Astyanax mexicanus: one gene and its partner. The protein of the gene in region 1 purifies or fractionates together with the protein of each later gene. This does not show direct contact. Links are inferred from orthologs where the notes say so. Each region holds a gene or a part of one and is shown on either strand. Other genes may lie near its edges.

The links.
Region 2: the proteins of casc3 (region 1) and upf2 fractionate together in Homo sapiens (co-fractionation; 3 studies listed by BioGRID and IntAct). This does not show direct contact. The link is inferred for Astyanax mexicanus from reciprocal best matches to the Homo sapiens genes CASC3 and UPF2.

Annotation. Positions count from the first base shown.
Region 1 is NC_064426.1:33,094,729-33,106,155, reverse strand, and holds the start of casc3 (protein CASC3), read left to right. Parts: upstream 1-6,401; 5' UTR 6,402-6,423; coding exon 6,424-6,609; intron 6,610-9,366; coding exon 9,367-9,394; intron 9,395-9,518; coding exon 9,519-9,574; intron 9,575-10,984; coding exon 10,985-11,188; intron 11,189-11,427. Other genes in the region: msl1a (male-specific lethal 1-like 1), read left to right, coding at 651-1,304, 1,646-1,842, 1,971-2,230, 2,614-2,678, 2,831-2,898, 2,987-3,111, 3,194-3,266, 3,397-3,487. UniProt on the Homo sapiens protein: Required for pre-mRNA splicing as component of the spliceosome. Core component of the splicing-dependent multiprotein exon junction complex (EJC) deposited at splice junctions on mRNAs.
Region 2 is NC_064409.1:45,005,113-45,016,588, forward strand, and holds the start of upf2 (regulator of nonsense transcripts 2), read right to left. Parts: upstream 5,579-11,476; 5' UTR 5,420-5,578; intron 5,335-5,419; exon of another isoform or gene 4,724-5,334; intron 3,169-4,723; exon of another isoform or gene 3,166-3,168; 5' UTR 3,165-3,165; coding exon 2,791-3,164; intron 2,269-2,790; coding exon 1,489-2,268; intron 1,388-1,488; coding exon 1,227-1,387; intron 525-1,226; coding exon 333-524; intron 251-332; coding exon 95-250; intron 1-94. Other genes in the region: protein FAM180A, read right to left, coding at 6,904-7,233, 10,464-10,561. UniProt on the Homo sapiens protein: Involved in nonsense-mediated decay (NMD) of mRNAs containing premature stop codons by associating with the nuclear exon junction complex (EJC).

The DNA of each region.
Region 1 (11,427 bases):
CTGAATTAGCTTGGCTAATTAACTAGTTTACTGTTGCCTAAACTAAGAAGCCCAAATATCAGAGCACAGTTGTTGTTAGCTAGCATTGCTAGCAGTTAACTAGCTGAGTCCCAGTGTTTCTTTGGTAAGCTTAAGAGCTGGATATGCAATATTTTAGCTAGGTTAAGTCCCCCATTCCTGCACTGCTTTCTAGACACACACCCAAACAGAATTAGGTTCCAACTAGTGAGCTGTAGAGCGATGGACGTTAACATGTACATGTAGCTACGTTCTTAGAAGTGTGAAGTACTGAAGCACAACAATTAGCTAACCTGGGTAATTGGGAATGTAGCTACACATACAGCAAACATTTGCATTGTTTCGAAAATACATTTAGCTAGAGTTCTAATGTACACTAACTATAGTGGAATAATATAGAATTATAGGGTTATAAATATAGATTTATATATAATATAGGGGTACCTTTACTCAAGTAAAATGTAAAAGTACTGGTTTCAAAACTATTTAAAGTGTAACAAACCACATTCTGTTTTTCTTTTTCAGAGCTCAGAATGGATGTGGATGTGGTGCTTCAAGCACGCTGCTCTCCCTCGCTGAGCCACCCTTAACGACAGCAGTGGGTGTAGGTAGCTCAGCAACTGCTACTCGCCATGACTATGCGCTCCACCGTGTTTACAAGTGGACGAAACACGCTGGACACAGACTTGACTGACCAACGCAAAAAACAAGTGGCAGCCACTGAATCTCAGAGTCTTGTAAAGAAGCAAGGCTGTGAGCATCCTGTCAGAGTTCCTGCCGTCCTGAGCACCATCCACAACAGTAGTGAACAGCATCTCCACAGCAAAGTGAAGACCTTCACAAGCAGTCACAGCACAGCAGGCAGACCTGGCCAGTCTCTGGCAGTGAGGAAAGGGCAAGAGGAGAACTGGGTGAACCTGGAGGATTTGATAGTTCCTCTGGCCAAGCAGATGGGGGCCGAGGGTACCCCAGTAAAAAGCAAATCACTGTTTGGACAGGCCAGTCACAACCACTTGGGCAGGATGGATCCAGTGGCATCAAACGGCAGCAAGCAGCCACGAAAGGCAGGGCCAGTGGGGGGAGTTGCAATAGCAGGAGTCCCCTCACCTGAACATGGCCCTGATGCAAAAAGCAGAAATATGATGAAGGGCATCGGCCATGCTGCCACACAGACTAGCTGCTTTCGTCAGATTCTTCTGTTGCAGCTAGAGCTGATTGAACAGCAACAGCAGCAGCTGCAGAATAAAAACAAAGAGATAGATGACCTCAAAGCTGAAAAGGAAATGGTAAGCAGAGGTTATTTGTCTATTGTGTACTAAACAAATTGTCTTTAGTATATTGAGACAGACACTACGCCACCTTCCCAACTGTGATACATTAATACATACCTGCTTGATCTTTGTATTTGGAGTCTAGATTTTATACAGTTTTATTTTCCTTCACACTTTTATGAGATTAAGTAAGTGGCTTAGGGCTGATAACTTGATTAAACGCACACAAATTAAGAGGAAGCATTTCTTTAATCAATTGTCATGTTTTGTACTTAAAAAAACAAACAAACTATGGCAAAGGCATCCTTCCACTGCTCTGGGCTATGCACACTTATTTATTAATTTCATTAATATAGTTGACTGCTCGCATTGAGCGAATGGAGCGGCGGCTACAGATGGTGAAGAAAGAAGGATCTGAGAATCGGCCGTCTCAGACTCCACGTCGCAAGGAAGTTGTTGAGGCCATCTCACCAGAAAGCACAGGGCAACCTGAGGGGCAGAGCCTGACACCTAGACCTATGACTTTAGGAAGGGGTGGCAAGGGCCTGAAAAGGTATTCAACATTTTATACGTAAAGCTTTAAATGTTTTTGTTTAAAAACATACTGCTTACTTATTTGTTGATTTGGCATGCATGAAAAATCAAACACAAACATGACTAAACTTTCTTTTGCTTTTTTAGAAGATTCCTTTTTCAAGAATCCGGGATGGCCAGGTCCAGACGAGGTCAGCCCAAAATGCCTTCTCCAAAGGAAGGCCAAGCTTTGAAGGAGGAGGCTCAAGAAGAAGAAAGTCCCGAATTTAAGTCACATGGTTCCTCCATTGTCCAATCAGAAGAACTGCCTTACCTGGCTACGACAGAAATGTATCTGTGCTGTTGGCACCAGCCGCCACCCTCACCTTGGAGAGAGCCATCTCCTGTGCAGGACGACACAGTTGCTGGTAAGTTTTGTCAGTTGTGCAAGCACTTTCAGTACCAATAGCCCACACACTTTTAGCACCAATAGCTCAAACTCTCTAGCTCATACATGGCATTAGGAACAGGGTCAAAAGTTTTGTGTTTATCTGCTTCAGAGATTCCTATTCTATTGGCAGTATATCTGTGCATGGACTATTTGCACATGTCAACAATGGGTGAAATTTAAAATAGCTGAATGTATTAATTACAAGGGGTGTCCACAAATATTTGTATATGTAATGTTTGTAGCGCTAAAGTTCTTTCAAATGTCAACAATGGTAACTTGTATCTAGAGAACAACAAAACTTTTAAACTAAATGTTGGTGATCTGGATTATTGACACTTTATACCTTCCTTTCCATTTTAGTCCCGTCTTGGCGAGAGAGCATTTTGGAACCCATGGAGGAGAAAAAAGCAACAGATATCCCTGAGGTCAGTAACAATTCAAAGAAAAGAGATTGATATGTTACACCATCTCCTGAAATGTATTACAGTGGCCTTTATTAGGAAAAAATACAAATGTAGTTTATCTATGTATGAAATCTTAAATCTGCACCCTAGAGTGACTTTATTATTTTATTCAGAGTCTAGATGACGGTGTCTTTTTGAAGCGGCATTCAAAACTGGAGTTGGATGAAAAGAGAAGGAAAAGGTAGAACTGATTAATATCCCTGCGGTTTCTTTGAACGGACTGCTTCTCTGTTTCTTTTCACAAGTCCCTAATTTCCTGTCTGTCTCAGGTGGGATATTCAGCGTATTAGGGAGCAGAGGATGTTCCAGAGACTCCAGCAGAGGATGGATAAGCGAAAAGTGATTCAGGAAAGTGAGCCAGAGCTACTTTCCTTCTACCCTGAAGCAGAGGATGGTATGTCACTAAAGTTTCAACAGTTAAACATAGAAAATTGGTGCATTTTTACCAAAATGTTCTTTTTTTTTTTTTGTTTCAGTGGAATCAATAATGATTACACCATACCTGCCAGTGGTGGCATTTGGCAGACCCCTGCCTAATCTTCAACAGCAGTACGTTTACTCATATTTCACATTTGTAACACAAGATTTCTTTCTTTTTTTTCTTCAAAATTTGTCCTATGTATGGTCTGTTCTGGAATCCTCTGCTTAAAATCATTCTCTTCATTTTTTCTTTGTACAGGAGTTTTGACATACCATGGCTGGATGAGCGCAGTCGCTGCCGACAAGAACTGTCCAAAAAGAAGACGCCCCATCGGACCTGCCGCAAGTGAAGCAGTCCTACAGGCGAAAAAAGACAGCGGCGCAGCCCACATGTTCCTTCTAAAGGAAATGCTGCTTCAGCTCTACTGTTTCGTGGCATGTCCTGTGTGCTACAAGATCATATTGGCAATATGCACTCACCTGGCATACCTGACTGCCTTGATTGCACTTTTGATCTTTAAGCAGACCAAGTCCATTTTTCTCCTCTGTTAAGTCTTCATTTGGTGATGGAACCACTTAACAGTCTAACTCCACAGTGGCAGAAAACCAAGCTTTCAGAAGTTCATGCTCATGGTTGTTTTAATATTGCAAAGTATAATGCTTGTGCCCTGGTTGCTTTTGCATCATCTCATACAAGTTTGCTTTCAGATGTACAGTATGGACCAAAACTCCCATCATATTGAGCTGAGAACAGAGAATGTCAAGATTTGTTGTTTTTGGTTTGCATTTCTGTTCATTGTAAGTGGATGGTATGAATCTAAGAAAACATGGCCTATCTTGTAAAATAGTGTTGATTCAAAGTATAAGTGTAAGATACTCTAAATGCATCTAAAGAGAATATTTCAAATATTAAAGAAGTTCACAATTTATTTGTTACTGTGTTTTTTTTTTGTTTGTGTTATCCACTCTAGTTTACTGTTTGTGTTACATTAGGTTGGAAAATACTTATGTAGTTAATCTAATTTTTTTTTTTTTTGCACTTAACTCAGTCATTGCACGTCATAAACAACAGCAATGGTAAGACTGAAAATGAGAAATAGTGTAGTAATCCAAAACATCCATTCAGACTCTTGAAAAAATGATTTGGACTGTATGGGGGTAATTTCATGAAAATTGGACATGGCTGTTTGAATGTAATCTGACAGACCTGTTTAGTTGTGCTTCCTTAATTTGAAATATAGATTCCAGCCTAAAGACCAAGGAAGTGTTGCCAATCTTCAGAAATCTTTCATGTGTGTGGATGATCATTACCCTGCTGAAAAATGCAAATGCAAAGACAAATATACATTTTTTTGGCTCCATAATTTGGCCTAGGGTAGAGACGTGGCTCTATTAGCGAAATGTAATTTAAACCAAAAGCTTGTGGATACAGCAGTACTACCTAAATGTGTTAGAATTATGCCGTTTTGCCAAATATTTATGGATTTCAACAAAACCTTGCACCACCTCTACAACCAACTGATGCTCTCAGGATGTTCAGTATATTTCACTTGGAACTTTATGACTTAAAATAAAGGACAGAGTGCTGTAAGGAACTTTGCACATGTTTTAAAGGGTCTGTGACATACTTCACCATGGGCTTTTTTGGGTTAATTAATCTCCACATATTTGGTATTTTATACCACACGTTCATAATTTTTGTCGACATAATTTAGGTCTTTGGAACAATGGCAATATGACAGTAAAAAAATATATATGTTATTTCTGTGCCCTTAAAAAGATTGTGATATTTATTATGTTGCTTATCTGTTGGATGATTCTGGGCATTTACTTTCTTTCCTATGAACTTAGTTTACCTTCTTATGGAGATTTAATAAAAAAAAATGGTCTTTTCTTATAAAACATAAAGAGTATAATGTTGTAGCTAAAGCTATTACTAAATGTTTATTAATGATGATGGAATCTCATATGCAATTTTACACCGTCTCCAAGTTTAAACCATTTGCTTTATATTAATGTTCGAGACTTCAAAAGTGAAACACAGTATTAGGGAAGGATTCTACAACAAAAGAAAAATTAGGCCACAAGGGATATCATATTGGAACTCTCATTTTACAGAGATCTCTTGGGGGAAAGCTTCATCACTACTTTATAAGTTTTGTATTTATAATAAAATCAGAGAATCAAGTACATTTAGAATTCACGTACATCTACCTATGTAATTATAATATTGCTACATTTATCAAAACAGTTAATTTTGCTCCAAACATACAAAAAAACTAGAACATTTATTTTTTTAATGTTCTTATTCAAAATATTTTTAGAAAGCTCTAGCCTTTTTTTGATAAGCAAATTAGAGGGTAGATATAAAATGTGACTGCTATTTTTGGTTTTATCTGTAAGGTCTCTACTGTCAACTTAACTTTAAATCTGATGATCCTCTTTGGCAAACACTCTAATATTTGGTTGGACCACCTGCTTTTGCTGTGGCATTTTTTCTTTAAGCTTCTGCAATGTCACAAGATTTATTTCAATCCAGTGTTGCATTAATTTTTAATCAAGATCTTGCAGCACTGATGGTAGAGTCTGACCACTGCACAAAGCCTTCTCCATCCAGCACATCCCAAAGATGCTCAATGGAGTTAAGGTCTGGACTCTGTGGTGGCCAATCCATGTGTAAAAATGATGATCTCATGCTCCCTGAATCACTCTTTCACAATTCCAGCCTCATGAATCCAGCCATTCTCATCTTGGAATATGCTCGTGCCATCAGGTAAGAAAAAATCCAGTGATGGAATAAGGTAGTCAGCTGACCTCATTCTTTCAGCACATACTGTTGCTGAAACCTAGACCTGACCAACTGCAGCATCAACCCCACATCATTTCCTTAGTTAAATCCAGGTGAAGATTTTTTTTTGCCAGTTAGTGTATTTCTTGATGGATTTAACTTGTTTATTAGCAGCAATAAAGCTGTGTCCACTGTAAATTACACTAAAGAGTTTAATTTGCCGGTTTATGAATGAGATGTGTTGTCAGTATAAATGTTTTGTTTAGCTTGAAAAACCTTTTTGGTTGTATGTTTAAATTACCTTGGATGTCTTTGTTTGTATTATATTGCTTTTGGAATTTAATAAAAGTATTTAAGCTCTATTTAAATGACTATGTTTCATTTATGAAGTTTCCTCAGCCCTGTTGCTTGGTAATAATGGGTGTAGAGGAAGTGACGCACTTCTTAACTCCCACATTGCCTTGCGCCTTTCCGCTCTCCCCTTCCTTGTGAGTTAAGATGGCGGACCGGCGACGACGAAGGCGGCGCGCTTCTCAGGACAGCGAAGAGGAGGAGGAGGAGGCTTCGGGCTCAGACAGCACCGGCTCCGCCTCACAAGCGGCCAAGACCCGGCCGAGGGTCCCGGAGCCTGTCGAGGCCCCGGCGGTTCGCAGCGCCCCAAAAAGCGATGTCGAGTCGGAGTGTGTAAGTATTGGCCGTCCAGCGGGGCTTCAGCGGCGGGCCGAGGGTCCGGCAGGGACTCAGCTAGCGGTCCGGCGGGGGGAGGGAGATAGGGGTTAATAGGAGAGGAATCGCGGGTTTTTTTTGGGAGGGACGGGTAGAGTCTGTAGAGTGTAGCGTTAGTGTGTAGTCTCTTTTTTTGGCTCACTGTTTTATTAGTCAACTCTGGTCAGAGGGACAGAGCAGGGTAGCTACATAACCCGCCAACACCTCCGGGATGGTGATGGTGATAGTTCTAGTGATGGTAATGGTGATTGTAACGGGAATGCATACATACGTGCTGTCCGTTAACCCTCTACTTCAGTTGTTCTCAAACATTGGTAACTAACATGAAGCACACCAAGGTGGTACACCACCAAATAAAGGTTTTAATGAATCAAAAACAAAAGATTATACAGCAAAATGCATGTGGGTACCACGTGATGTCCAAATGTCTAGCTCTTAAGAATTTGCCTGGTTTCATTGGAGACAATGACATGTTGTCACTATCATCTCATAAAAACATCTCATAATTTTCATGAAGAGAAATGTGATGAAAGTAATTTTGAAGCGTTTCTTTTATAATTTGGAGTTTACCTTTTAATAGCATTAGTGTTTCATGTCAACATCGATATAACACATTGCGTTATTTGTGAACATCGTTTACATGCTTACGAAGTTTTAGGTGGTACTTTGGGTTTGGCTTTGGTGGTACATGATCTAAAATGTTTGAGAAGCACTGCTCTAGCAAAAAAAAGGAAAAAAACAACATAATTTTTGTTATTAGTAGATTTTGTTGTGACAATGCTTCTTGGCAAGCCTGTTCATTTCCCTTAAAATTGTCACATTTGTAAGGAACATGCATTTCCAGGATGAGCAGCAGAGCTCAGCAGAGTATGTGGGTTGCCTTCATGAAAATTTTGTCAAATCTCCATCATTGCCAAACAGCGTATTCTGCTGTTACTACTGTTTCCTGTTTTCAGCTTCTGGTTCCCCCAGGTGTTGCCTTGGCATGAGCATGGGCCCTGGTACAGTGGTCAGTATATGTGTGCCTCAAGATTTGACATTCCTCAATTGACTAATCTGGATAGAAGGCCGAGAGGTAGCTTCACTTCAAGCTGGTGTGCTGCAAAGCCAAGTTACGGCATTATTCTGAGTGAGCCCTAGTACTGATATCTCCAAATTAAAGGCCACATTCCATATAGCTGACACTAAGTGGGCATCACAAGATGATCACACAGAAAGAAGATAGTCAACACCAAACGAGTCAATGGCACAATAAGCTGTTTGGCATTGGCATTGAGCATTTAGCATTTTCGTGAACACAACACACATTCTCTGCTCTGCTGCTCATCACACTAATGCATGTTTCTTAAAAATGTGGCACCATTTTAAAAGAGAAATAACAGGCTTTCCAACAGTATGGGACTTATTGCCAAGTCAGCAAAGAAATCGTCTACCAAACATGTATTTCCTTATTTTTTGTGCTACTTTTATTTGGTACTTGCACAGTAAATTATCGTTTCAGAATTGTCATTGATATCTAAGCATGGGCAAAGATGCGTCACATTGTTGATAATGTTTTTACAGCTTACTGCATTCAGTGTATGGATTTTACAAGACATTTGAAAGTGTCCTGTGTTTGCGATTAGGCACCAAGAACAACTTTAGCAGTAGGTCCTTTAAATCTTGTAAGTTAGGTAAAGTAAAGGGTGAGTGAGGTGGTGCCTCCATGAGCATCACTGAGCCGTAGGAGTACCTGACCATGTTGCTGATTCATTGGTTGGCCTGTTTTGTACTACAAAAGACCCGCCTGATGTTGTGGAGATATTATGGGCTGTCGTTTATTAGGCAGCAAACATTGGATTATTGATGATTTACACTCAATTTATCTCCATTTATCTCCATCAGTATAAGTTATTTTGCTTCAGTCTTTAATACACACAGAAGGCATTAGTAATATTATGACATTGGACCACTTTTAATACTGCAGTATTAATTACAGAGCAAGAAAACATCACTGTCAGTTTTTCTTAATATTGCTTCTTGAGTCACAATGAGGAGGCATTGACACATTTTCTGATTAAAGTGTGTGTAAGAAATTGGTGTGCTTTCTGCTTACAAGGAAAGTTACACAAAGTTATGTGTAGATGATCAAGTCTGGTTGGTAAGGCTTTGATATCTCTAGACATGGGATTTTTAGTTTTTTTTTGTGTCTTGGCTACACACAAAGCCCCCAGACAACATGCTTTTGTTGTCTGAGGTAACCGAACTGGGAACCAGCAAGTTTTTGTATATAGGTTTCATGGTGGGGCCTCACATATGGATGCCCAGTATGGTTTAGTATAGGATCAGGGGGAGTTAACCATCAATTTATTCTGAGTTGTACACTCACATGGGGCCTGGGCACATAAAGGAAGCCCAATGCATGGACAAACAAATTTTGTCCACCTGGAAGCCACCTAGCATATGACCTACGCATGTTAGCCCAGTATCAACATGTTGCCAGGTTTAAAAGCCATATTTTTTTTCACTTTCTGTTTGGGTGGATTACTAAATGGATGTGTGTTTCCTTTGTGAACCTTATCAGGTGACAGAGGTTTGGCTTATAGAATAAGGAACTTGATGTTTTTGTTTATACAGTTTTAAAGAGAAAGGAATTAAGTGGTTTCACAAACACTGTACAGCTCTGACCACCAACCACAAGTCTGACTTTAACTATATTTTTTTGTTCCTTTGTAGGAAAGTGAAGATGGTGGTGTAGGTGAAGGTGAGTTTCTCTTTGTGCTTTTACTTAAAAGTACTGACACTAATGATGGGCTTTATCATACACGGTTCCTATGTGATTGATGTAGATCACTGATTCACCACTTTTTTCGTTTTTGTTCTTGCAGCTGTCCTTTCAGACTACGACAGTGCGGATCCTGAGGAGAATGGTTCTCACTCAGAGGTGAGTCACCATAGCAACACAGACTGGAGGACTGGTGAGAAAATCTGTCCCCAAACTGGCTCCAGTACATGATGGATGCTGTGCATTAAGTGTTCGTTGGTTGCGGCTTATTGGTGTACATTTGAGTAGCTTGTTTTGGTTATGTTGCCTTTTGTCCAATTGTGTTGTTTATGGCAAGAAGTTTTAAAGAAGTTATCTCTGTTCAGTATTTAGTAGGGTTGGAAGCTGAGCTGATGTTCACTTGCTGTTTATATTAGTAATGAGTTGGAGCCAATAGGAATGTCTGTATCAAAGGCTACGTTCACATTACACCTCTTGTTTAATCATTTTAGATTGTTTTTCTCAGTTAGTGTTCGGTTTATTTGATGATCTACATTTATAAGTAGTTTGTAAGTGTAAATGACCTAAAGTGAGCAAATCTGTGCCTGAAGTAGGATGTACACATAAAATTATAAAGCACTTTTACAACAGCTTTACAGAAATGTTAGCAGGACAGAGAATCAGTCAAAACATTTAACATACAACATAGAAAACTTTTACCTTGAGAAGGAAACTCACATTTACTTTTTTCTATCAAATGTATTAGAAAGGCTAATATATGAGGGGTATCCATCCTCCTCTGGTCAGACAGCTTATAAATTAATTTTTAAAAGGTAAAAAAATGTTTGTGGACATGTTTTGTGAAAATCTTATTCAGACATGATTTGTCTACATGGCCCCTGGAAAAAATCACATCTATTATTCAGTTTAATTTTTGCAATGCCTTTATGTCTAGTCCAATACTCGAGTACAGTGTAGTGGTGCACTATTATGGTGACCCATTGGCTGTTGAGAATTAAATTACATATTGTTTTAATGCTGTTTTGCTAATTATTATTCATAGAAATGAATTCCTCTTGTTGAGCATAGACAAAATGTTGGTTGTTGGGTGCGTGGAGTTTGTGTGCTGCATTTGTTTGAACATGCTGTACATCTCCCTGTGCTGAGTTAAATCTGAACAACCTTTTTTTGCCGAAGTGGTCGTTTTGCTCGGTGTCCTAGCAACCCTCGTTCCTCAATCTTCTCGGCTGTCTAGCAGAATGAACCCCAGGCCTGCATTTGCAGTATTTCCTCTCCCTGCATATGAAGAGCTGTTTGCTGGGTTGCTTGCAGTTTATTTCATCACTGCTGCTTGCTATTGCACTTGTATTCAAAGGATAGAACGTGCTCTTACCACATGAGCAAATTTCTTCATTGACACCAACTAATTTAGTGTCCAATGACAACAATATTGCTTGATGTCTCACTTGAGTACAGTTAAGAATTTGTACTATGTGACCTTGGGACATAAATAAACTGTACAGTGTGTTTTGAGTATTGCCAAGGATGCCTTGTTTTGGGGTTCATCCATTTGACCTTGCTCCATCTCAGGGAGGAGAGGAAGAGGAGGAGGAGGAGGGAGAGCATTTTAGTGATGAAGAGGCTGCACGCCCTGCTGCAGAACAGAAAGCTGCAGTGGATACTCCTGCAGAGGAGTTGGGACCCGAACAAGAGGGGGAAGAGGAAAAGATGAAAGAAGTGAAGGTGGAAGAAAAGAGCAATCTGGCAGGAGAGAGACAGAGTGGGGATGGCCAGGTATGATATTAAAACTTTTTTCCCTTTCTACTTACTTTTTTTAAATGCATACATTTTGTATAAATATATAGTACCAGTAAAGATTTAAAAACTATAAAGGACCACATATGCAATTAGGCAGTAGACAGAAAAATGTCTTTGGCCTACACAAACACCTGGCTAGTTGGAATGCAGAGTGAAGGAATAGCAGTTGACAAGAGCTCAGCACCTCTAGAACTCCTTTAAGACAGTTGAAAAGA
Region 2 (11,476 bases), on another chromosome or scaffold:
ACAATGTAATACTATATGGAGGTATTGAAATTGACAATATGGAGAAATTAATGTATTGATTTATGTACACTTAAGTAAATCATGTTATAACCACCTTGCTCATCTAGTAGTTTCTTGGCCAGTTCTTCACTCTCTGCCTCATCAGCACCTTCCAGTTCCAGAGGGTCATCAGTGATGTCCAGAGCCTCAAGCTCCAGCTCTAGCTCCTCTGTGCAACTTGCTTCTTTCCCATCACGTCCCTCCTTAGTTTCTGAAGAGGAAGCAAAGACTCCACTTTAGCTCAACTTAATTATCAGACCTCAGGTCTTAAAGTGACAGCAACCATTTACTACCTTTGTTTTCTTCCCTATCTTTGCTCTGACAGGCCTTTTCATTGTCCTTGAACAGAATGGCAGGAACAAATGCCTTCAGGTCTACCAGGTTTTCATAAAAGTTTCGTGCATCCTCATCCTCCCAGATTCCTCCTTCAAGCTCATAGTCTCCTGGCTTCCCCGGGGTGAAGATGTCAATGCCTGGACCATGCTCTGCAACACAGACATCACACAAACACATTGTTCATACAACATAAATAGTAATTCACACACCTCTGTAGGGATCTATGTTACTAATTAACTCCTGACACTCATAAAACCACATTTAACCACTATTCTGGGTTTATAACCATTATAAAACTGAAAGTTATTACATAACAAACTTTTGCAAATTCTATTACATTAAATACTGTGTCACAAGGTGTTATTGCAATAAACAAAAACGCTTAATGTTTGTCTGAAAACAAAGGGCTGGTTTGCTGGTTCACTAAGTCTTGGACTATATCTTGGTGTAAACAACAAATTGAACTGAAACCACTGAAAATGTTTTGTTGTTTAAAACTTTAAACATTCATTTGAACAATATTGTGAGATTGAGGTAACATAACTAAAATGGAAGAAATGTAAAGCTAAAATATGGTCATTAGAAATGCTTTTTTTTAGGCTAGCTGTTAATTTACCAGTACTTATGAGGTGCACCTCATTAAATGCATTAGATGATAAGGACATTATTAGATAATATTTGTGAGTATTATTTATAAACATCAGACATTTCATTTGGTTCATACACTTGTTCAAATGAACTGGCAATTCGTGATTGAATATGCTTAACCTCCAGAGTATTTTGACTTTTTTGAAGGGTCTATATCAAAACCAATTTGTGTTGTAAAAACCCTGTTGTGCATGAGTTTGTACCTTCTTGGACAGTCTTATCCTGAGGCAGCTCAGGCATGTTCTCATCCAGCAAATCAGCCAGAGACTGGGTGTTGGCCAGCAGTTTCTGATAGCATGTGGCAAACTCCTCATACTGTTTATGCCTGTCCTCACTCAGCTCTCCTTTAGAGTGCAGAATACGCCTGAAAGATAAGGAAATAGAGCATAAGAGGTTTTTAGAAGAAGCTCCAGTACACCTACACTAAAGAGATACACTGGGCTGATGGTTATGACATTTGCTCACCTGTTTTGCCTTTCAGTGTTCTGAAGCTCTCTATGATCTTTCTTCAGGTGTTTGGTAAGAGAGGTAAAATACTCTCTCAGCAAATTCTGGAAGGGCTGCTGCTTCTCTATATTGATGATCTCACTCGGAGGGAATGTCAGGTTAAACTTCTCAGCTGCACTCTTCACCCGACGAGGCACCAGGCCAGCAATGTCATCTCCACAATGCTTGCAAAAGCTTATTACCACCGAAACGTGAGTGTGAGTCTCACGGTCAGCACTGATAATGTTCTTCAGTTGCTCATAGATGAGAGAGAGCCCTTCCTTATCAGTGAAGAGACCCACTATAGTCAGCTCAGCAATGAAGCGTAGGTCAGTGCGCAACTTGCTCACGTTTGGAGCCTTCTCCTCTTTGCGCGCCTCAAAGTGCCTCTTCCACGCAGCCAGAAGGAGAGGGGCAAATTCAGCGTAGCGCTGGTGGAACAGCGAACACAGGTGTACAGCACAACCCACATCAGAAATCTTAAGCTTGGCCTCCACCAGTGAGCTGACGGCTTCTCCAATGTATTTGCTGAGATTGAGCGAAGCGAAGTCGTGCGAGAGGGAATCACGCTGCTGTTCTGTGAGTGTGCGGAGCTTCTTGACAAACGCAGTGTTTTTCTTGAGACTGGAGTCCAGGCGACTGAAGAAGGCCTCCTCGGGACGGCTTTCCTGCACATGCTGGTTCTTACCTCGCAGCTCCTTCCTGGTTTGGTGTCTTTCCCATGCCTCCTGGTGCAGCTGCTGCGCTTCCTCTTTCTCCCTACAACACAAACACATTAGCTGAAAACTGCAGCAATAGAGCTACATTTACATGTACACCAACAGTTAGATAATAGTTAGTCCATTTTAAACTTCTGAGACTGATATAAATATAAAAATACCATAACAAAATAACATTTGTGCAGTAATTGTGATACAGTGCATGTGATAATAGCTTTCAAACATCAACTCATAACAGAGGATGAAAGGGTTCACATAAAATGCTTAACAATTTGTCAGAAATATTAAATACTCAAATATTTTAAAGGAAAAGGGGCAATAATGTTTATAAACAATGGGGAAAATGTTACATAGGAGGTATTTACCTTTATATAGTCAGTCTATGCTGCTGTAAATCTAATTGGAACTATAAACATACTATAGTTTCATAGATCTTTTTTAAACCTCTTCTAAAATTTTTGTCCAGTTTGTTAGATTACCTGTGAACATACTGGGCTGTACACTGGCACTATACAGAAATGCTAAAACTAGTCAAAGTCGAAACCTCTGTCAGAAATCTTACTTCAACTGAGCAGCCTCCTCCTCCTTCTGTCGTTTGGCCTCCTCCTCAAGCAGCTTCTTTTCCTGTTCCTCCTGTTGCCTCTTCTCTTCTTCCTCCTTCCTTTTCTGCTCTTCCTCAGCCCTTAGTTTTTCTTCTTCTTTCTTCTTACGCTCCTTCTCTTCTTTCTTCCTCTTCTCCTCCTCCACTCGACGCTTCTTGTCATCCGCAGACTTGTTGCCATCCTTCTTGCCACTCATTTTGCTCTCATCTTTGCCTTTGTCTCGGGAAGACGTGGGTCGCCTATCCCCATCTCTATCTCGCTCTTTCTCCTTGCTGGTGTAGGAGACTGTTTCCTTGTCATCCATGTTCACTGACTTTTTGCGTTCAGCAGGCATCCTGCTAAAACATCAGACATTTCTTTTTATTTTGGGATGTTCTATAAACACAGCATGAGCAAGCAAATAGAAACATCAACATTTTCTGTTATTGCCAAAGAGTGATTCTACAGGGTTTTCCTACTGTAATATAGCCATTTGTCTCAGCAAAGGCTCAACAGGTAATGAGTTAATTATGGATCACCTGTGTTGGAATTAGAGGAATCTCTACCAGGGCAATGGTAGCTAATAAAGGACCAGAGCTGGGTCTCATTCTTAAGTTTGTATGTAAAGTCTCTACTAAGTCCATAACACTACTTAGCTTTAAACTATCCTTTCACTAAATGTGGTTACACCACAAGTCTATATGTTGTGTCTTAACTAGTAACAACCAACTGATGTGCAGTAACCACTTTTACATTAAGAAATTAAATGTATGACATGGCAATCAACAGGTTGCCATGGAAACTTGGCATATAATGGTTTTCATTGGTTTAGTTACAACTTTCCTCTCAGTGTCTGTGAGGGGTCACAATATTTATAGAGGCCAAGTACTATTTCAACAGTCACACCCTGTTCAAACACTTAAATATAGAAGTATTTTTATACAAAAATATTAAATCTGCAATCAAATGTTTAAGATTCAAAACAGAAAATAATTTACTTGATTGATTATGGGGATATCATCAGTGCCTAAAGAACATTAACCCAACTGTACATTTAATTACAGAGAGTGTAATTAATCATGTTAAACTGGATGATGTGCAGCAAAATCACTGTACTATACATAAAACAGTATTTTAAACAGCAGATTAGCATATCTGCCACATGATAAATACTATCATGAAAACATCTATTAGTGTGTGATCACAAACTTTGCAGTTATGTGGAAATTATTTTAGTTTTTCTTTTATTTTTGTGTTTCTGTGGAGTTTGCTGTTGAAATCTCTCATTTGTTTGTGCTTCATTATTTGTGTTTCTATATAAATATAATCTGTAATTAATTTTTTAATAAGATTTTATATTTTTGTGTAAAACTTTTGGCAGAAAATCAACCTCATAAAAATATCCTTACCAATTTTACATTTATTTTTAACTGTACATGGACAAAATACTGTCAAACACAAACAGCATGTGAGAAAATCCAGCAACCTAGTTTGTGTGGAGCAACCTGTTTTGATTCAGTAATGCGGAAATCTGAATGTAGTAAACACTTAACCTGGTTTGTTACGTTAAAAGTCACAGCATAAAAAAATAACATTTTACACACACAATAACCTGAAATCTAAAGCGAACTAAATAAAGGCGTTTATGTTGCTATATTTAGCAGAACGACTGTGTGACAGGTGTACTATTTAACGCGTAAATCTAACAACTTTTAAAAAGTTAGTTTAGTTAGCCAGCGTTCGTTAGACAAGAGAAAGCCAGCTAGCTAACAAGCTACATTATTTAGCTAGCGTTAACTTCAGCTAGCCACTGTAGTTAGTAATACAAACGTAGGTAATAGTTTAGTTCATACCTTTTATAAATAAGTTAACACATTAGAACAACATTAGTTTATGTTGAAGAAGCAAACACACCATAGTGCACACCAGGAGAATGTAACGTGAGTGAGCTGCAGTTGTAGCAGTGACAGCTGTTCTGTTCAAAACATGAACCGAAGTTATGATTAACTATAAAATTAGCCAACCTGGCTAGCTAGCTAGCTATACTGTCTACGTTTACCGCGTTCGTTCTTTATTTCCGCCCGAATACTAGCTAGTTAACTAGCTAATTCCCACATACCCAACTGAATTATGGCCTAAATAAACTTACAAGTTATTGTAAAATTGCGTATAATAGAAGTATCTTACGGCATTTGCCCGTTAGCAAGTGAGCTAACTCCGTTTGCCATAGAAATCTAAACAGCTAACGATAATAGCGAGTTAGCTAGCTAGCTGTTAGCTGTCGAGAGTTGTTAGCTAACGCTAGCTAACTAGCTTCACACTTTACGCGCCCCTCACTCCGCACATTAACCCCCGCTATATATCGCTAACAATCCAACAGCGCGGAATAAACGCAGAGCTCCTGCTGTCTATCTGAAGCTGTCTTTAGATAGCTGTCTGTCCGCCTCTCGGTGAATCAGTAAGTGGTTAGCAGAGTGTCAGTAATAACAGTGTTAGCTCAGCTCAGCTCGACTGAATTTCAGGCCGCTCTGTAAACATTACCGAGCTGCTCGATACCCCGCACTACCCACACAAACCCTCCCCAAACCGCCACCAGCCCCGTTATCTTACCTTCAAAACAACATAAACAACATAGGGCAGTTTTAGCTGGGTGGGCTACTTTTTCCTCTGCCTGCTTTGGTAGGAAGGACCCCAAATCTAGCTCTGTATTTCGTGCGCCTGAACAAAATAAGCAGCGCTGCAGTCTGGTCCAGAGGAAGAGCAGAACATGTCGATCATGGCGCGTTAGAGAGGTTAGCTATCATAACAGCTCATAAACTGATGTGGGTGTAGACCTAGCTGGTGCACGAATTAACTCTAGTGAACCTTTCCCATTTTCCTCCTGAAATTACACACTATTGGGGTTTTCTACTCCTGCATTAAAGCTACATAAGGTAGATGCAGTTTCATAAACTGCCGCGTTTCCAAATTTAATTATCACAAACTGAGGATTTCATGCCCTCCCACGCTTTCATTTTGTTCAGTTCAGCGCATTGTGACTGTGGGTCTATAAATATACTTTCACAATTCAGCATCTCTAGCTAACTAGGTTAGTTGTTTTCCCCAACTTAATCCTACTGCAGAACAAAGTATATGTACACCTCTGAAAGTGTGAAAGTAATTTAAGCCAGAATCGCTTAATCAAAAACTCTGATCATTCAAGTCGTATTGTCATGAGCACACTGGACAGTTTTTTTTTTTATCTCACTCACATGATATCACCTTTCTATTTGTACAGGTGTGGGTGTTTTTCAAGCTGTTTCCTAAGTACAGCTCTGAAAATTATGAGTTTTCCTTTTATTTTACTAAATTAAAATTAATCTGAATCACAGCCATCAAACCAAGCTGAACTAAATCCACCATATATTGATTTCTGATCTCCTAAAACGTTATAAATATGAACTTGTTTTCTTTGCATTATTTGAGGTCTGAAAGATTTCCGTCTCTTTTGTTATTTCAGCCATTTCTCATTTTCTTCAAATAAATGCTCAATATTTTAATTTGGAATTTTGGGGGAAGTTACTGCAGATAACTATTATTTATTTTAACAAATCCATATGGCAGTCAGACATTATATGTTGGCAACTCAAATAAGCCACAATTCCAGTCTTAAATCATATGCAGCTGCCTTTTATTGATTTTTAAGGCTCAGAAAATAGGTTCCCATGTAGCATTTGTCTATGTTAATGAGATAAAAATGATCACTGAAACTTGCGGATAGCTCAATTATGTTTCTAAAAGTTTACATGAAAAAAAGGAACAAATACAGTAGGTTAGTCAGATATTATACAGACAAATCCGACATACAAAATCTGACTTGAGTACATCCCAAATTTGAACAGGGGTGTCCAAGACTAAGCATACACATATACATATATCATATGTACAAGTCAAATATAATGTTTCATTTATCATATACACGTCTAATAAGTTTGTATAACAGTTCTTTAACAAACCAAACAAAAATAAAAATACAGGCCTCTATCACCACTCCTATCACCACTCCTTTCATTAAAAGTTTATTGAAAAGTTCATTTAATAAAGAAAGTTATCTGTCACTCTGCTCTTAGATCTCCTTTAATGGCTTTATAAAGCTGAAGAAAGGTGTCTGCCCACAGCTCCCTCTGGTGGCCTGCAGTTGCCTGTGTGAGTCTCTGAGCTGTGTACACCATGGTGAGCACAGTTCGCTCAAAGTCCTCCTTGTGTAGGTGACCCCGATGCTGTTCCAGCTGGTGGCAGAGGCGGCGGATGTCTGACAGTGTTCTGGGAAGGACGTCCTCGCAGACCACCTCCAGAGATTGCAGCCGCCTCAGAGAAGCTAACTCCTCATCAGCCATGCGTAGCACACCTTCCCTGGCATCCACATACAGCCCTGACCACAGGGCCTGAGCCACAAACAGACAGACAATCATACAGACAGACATTATTAAAAGAGATACATTTAGAGCAAAGACTCCTTGGACTGTTTCAGTTACATTTGGTATAAAATCCTACAAATAGTATCCTACAAATAAATCTAAATTTACTTACTGATAATAATACTGAATATTGAACAATGTATTGATAAAGACCTGAACATTAGTAAAATATTTTATATATATATATTTATGACTGTAATGCCACAGTTCATTTTGACTGTGCAGTGTGACCAGTCCCCTGACAGGATATCTGTCAGTTTTTCTTATTTGTCAGTGACCTTCAGTCAGAACACCAACCCTATTATTTCCATTTGGTAGCTGAAGTCCCGTGATATTAGCTGACAGATTGTATTTTATGTTTTGATACAATAGATGGCGTATAGCAGCACCAGTAGTCAAATTAGAGATTAAATTCCAAAATTCCAGTCTCAATCCAAAATCTATACATAAGCTTAACCTCAGTCCAAAACCTAACCATAACCTTAACCTCAGCCCTAAACATAACCCCTAACCTTACCACAAATCAATACTGTTACCTTAACCTCAGTCCAAAACCTAACCATAACCTTAACCTCAGTCTAAAACCTAACCCTAATCTTACAACAAATCAATACTGTAACCTTAACCTCAGTCCAAAACCTAACCTTAAACTTAGTCCAGAACCTAACCATAAACTTAACCTCAGTCCAAAACCTAACCATAAACTTAACCTCAGTCCAAAACCTAACCCTAATCTTAACCTCAATCCAAAACATAACCCTAACCTTAACCTCAATCCATATGATAACCCTAACTTTAAAACAAATCAATACCCTCACCTTAACCTCAGTCCAAAGCCTAAGCCTAACCCTAACCTTAACCTCAGTCCAAAACCTAACCCTAAATTTAACCTCAGTCCAAAACCTGACCCTAACCTTAACCTCAATCCAAAACATAACCCTAACCTTACAGCAAATCAATACTGTAACCGTAACCTCAGTCCAAATTCTAACCCTAACCCTAAATTTAGACCAAAACCTAACTTCACCATAACCTCAGTCCAAAACCTAACCCTAACCTTAACCTCAGTCCAAAACCTAAAGCCATACCTCAGTCCAAATCCTAACCCTAAACTTAGACCAAAACCTAACCATAACCTTGAACTCAGTCCAAAACCTAACCATAACCTTAAACTCAGTCCAAAACCTAACCCTAACCTTAACCTCAATCCATATGATAACCCTAACTTTAAAACAAATCAATACCCTCACCTTAACCTCAGTCCAAAGCCTAACCCTAGTTTAACCTCAGTCCAAAACCTGACCCTAACCTTAACCTCAATCCATATGATAACCCTAACCTTAAAACAAATCAATACCCTAACCTCAACCTCCGTCCAAAACCTAATCTTAATTTTAACCTCAGTCCAAAAACCTACCCCTTACCTTAACCTCAGTCCAAATCATTACCCGAACTTTAGAAAACCTAAATCTAACTCTGGCCATAATCCAAATCCTGACCTCAAAACAAGGCCTAATCCTAACCATTATCCTGACACTAGTCCTAAACTTAACCTCAGTCCATGAAAGTGAAAAACAACTGAATTCAGGAGACATCTTCTGTAAAAGTCTGTTGATGATCTACTGAATGTTCAGATGCTGCTACATTACTGATATGTTTTTGATAAGATACCTAATAATTAACTGCTATTTTTCTTGCAACTCTTCAGTCTCCTAATAAATTCCATTAGGAACAGGGGTTTATATTGTATATTACATTGTACTGGAGCACATTCTATCCAGAGAGCAGTGTTCCTGCAGCTTACATTTTCTATTAAAGCCCATTGCCCAGGTTGAACAGGGCCTGAAGAAACACGTTATCGAAGTTTGTCAGATTCTCTCTACCATCACACTTTCTCTCACTCTTGTTTTATTAACTTCCATTCTACTTTCATGAAAAAGTCAGAGATTGTGTTGTGATGGAATTTCATTTTTCTCCTGGTACTTCTGAAGGTAAAAACTCTGTTTCTGAAAGAGACAGACAGAAACACTCGAACTCTTCTACAGTGTGTTCGGGAGCAGCCTAATTTGTTTCAAAGCAGTGTAGAGACGGAGCTCAGGGCTTCTGTAGGAGAAACAGGATGAGTCTGTATGTGCAGGTTTGTTGACTGCCTGGTGGTGTTTGTGCTAGTAGCATCATTGCTTGCCTTGTTTACCTCAGTGAAGAGAAGTTGATGGATACAAAAGTATTGGAAAAAAGTAGAAGCTCCATTGGGCTAAAGAAAAAAAAATGCTGTGAGGATCTCGGAGTCAGACAGAAAAACTGATGTAAGAAAGTCTGTGTTTATCTTGTGTTTGTCTACATGAATTTAAGGTCTAAATTGTTTAGGTTTGGTCATGTTGTAAGTGTCATTTCAATTTCTACTTTAATGCTGATTGACAGGTACTGGTCAAAAACATTGTTGCCTTTACCCACATGCAATAAGTCAACCAAGACACGTTATAAAATAAAGTTAAATATAAAGATAGTGAGAAATACTTTACACAATACATGTTTTACTTTAAACACTACATACAGTACATTTGGCTTTGTATGTTGCAATTGCAATGTTAAAGAGAATAAATCCACATGGTTCGAGGCAGATGTGTGATGTTCTATACCTGCAGTGTGCATTATACACTATATAACAGGTGGGGTACAAGCTTCCCACATAGCTCCAGACAGTGCACACCACCTACCAGACATCAAATACCCTGTATTTATTGACACACCTATATTTAATAATATGGTACAGTGTGACTGTCAGTCCTGTAGCTGTCAGTCTGCCAGCTCTGGACTCTGAACTACACAACAAAGACTCCAATTCCCAGCATGCACTTACAACAGACTTCCTTGACTTTGCTGATCACGTGAAGCTTTGACATTCCCACTCTCCCAGTTACTGATTGTTTGCACCTGGCCTGTCTTGTATATATACCTCTCTGTTTTCTTTGTCCCTCACCGAGTATTGAATCTAGTTAGCTAGCTCTGCTACAATGCGTTTCCTTTGTTTATTGCTTGTGTAACCCTCATTTTTGTTTCTGACCATCGTCCTTTGCAGACCTTTTTTGTGTCTCTGTTTATCCCTTTGTCTTGCCAAAATTGTATTTCTTGATTAGGGATTTAGATTGTTGGTTCTCAAAACACAATACAAGGTAAAAACAGTGGAGGGAACATACCTCATAGACTAAGTTGGTGTCCTCCACAGTTTTCTGGATGGAGGGGTTAAGTAGAGTTGGTGTTCCTCTCTTTACTCTGAAGGCAGAGGGGTACAGTGCTGAAAAAAAGAGGGTTTAAGGTCAGTGAGTTCAAAGGGTGAAGGGGAGAAAGGTTTATCTTCACTTCATAACCGTGACAGACCTTAAACCAGAACACTTTAAACATCTGGTGGGAGAGGACTGATGGACTGTCTGGAAGTTATATACCCTTTGACTGGCAGGTTGAGGCTTTATCAGGGACACGCCTCATCTGCTTACAGGTCACAGCTTGTCTTTAAAGCTCTTCAGACAGCTCCACTGTGGGGATTTCAAAGCAAGCATCTGTGTGGCAGGCTTCTGCTGCCGTATCTGCCTCTCATCAAGTCTGCAGTCACACCAAACAGCGGCCAGCCTGATGCATGATAGTATAAGGTGACTATATAATATCTCTTCCCCCAGACATCAGAGATCTTACAAAGGTGTGTCTGGATTTTTAAATTCCAGAGCTTGCAGTGATCTCATGTCAGTGTGTGCATCTAAAGGTCAGCGCTCGTGCTGTTAAAGGATTTTTACAGCTTTAAATACATCTCTTTAAGTCCTGCATTTTCGGCCCCACTATTGGTCTATATGTACCTGCTGCATGTAATTACATGCAGCCACTGTTCCTCCCGCTTTGCAGAAAAAGACAGAAAAATAGAGAGATAGAGAGAAAGGGAAAGAAAACTAAAAAGAGAAAACAGAACACTGTATAACAAGAACAGAACAGCAGTCCTAAAAAAAAAATAAATAAACACAAAATCAGTAAAAGAAAAATATGTTATGATTGTCTCTTAGTGAAACCATGTGGACCAAATATTCTGAAAGATCCATAAAAGCTTGAATCTAACCAACTACACAAAATTGTAGTCCGTAAAATACATCATGTGCGCTAAAATATTCTAATCAAACTTTATTTTCATACAAAAAAAAAAAAATTAATGTAAAATATGGTAAAA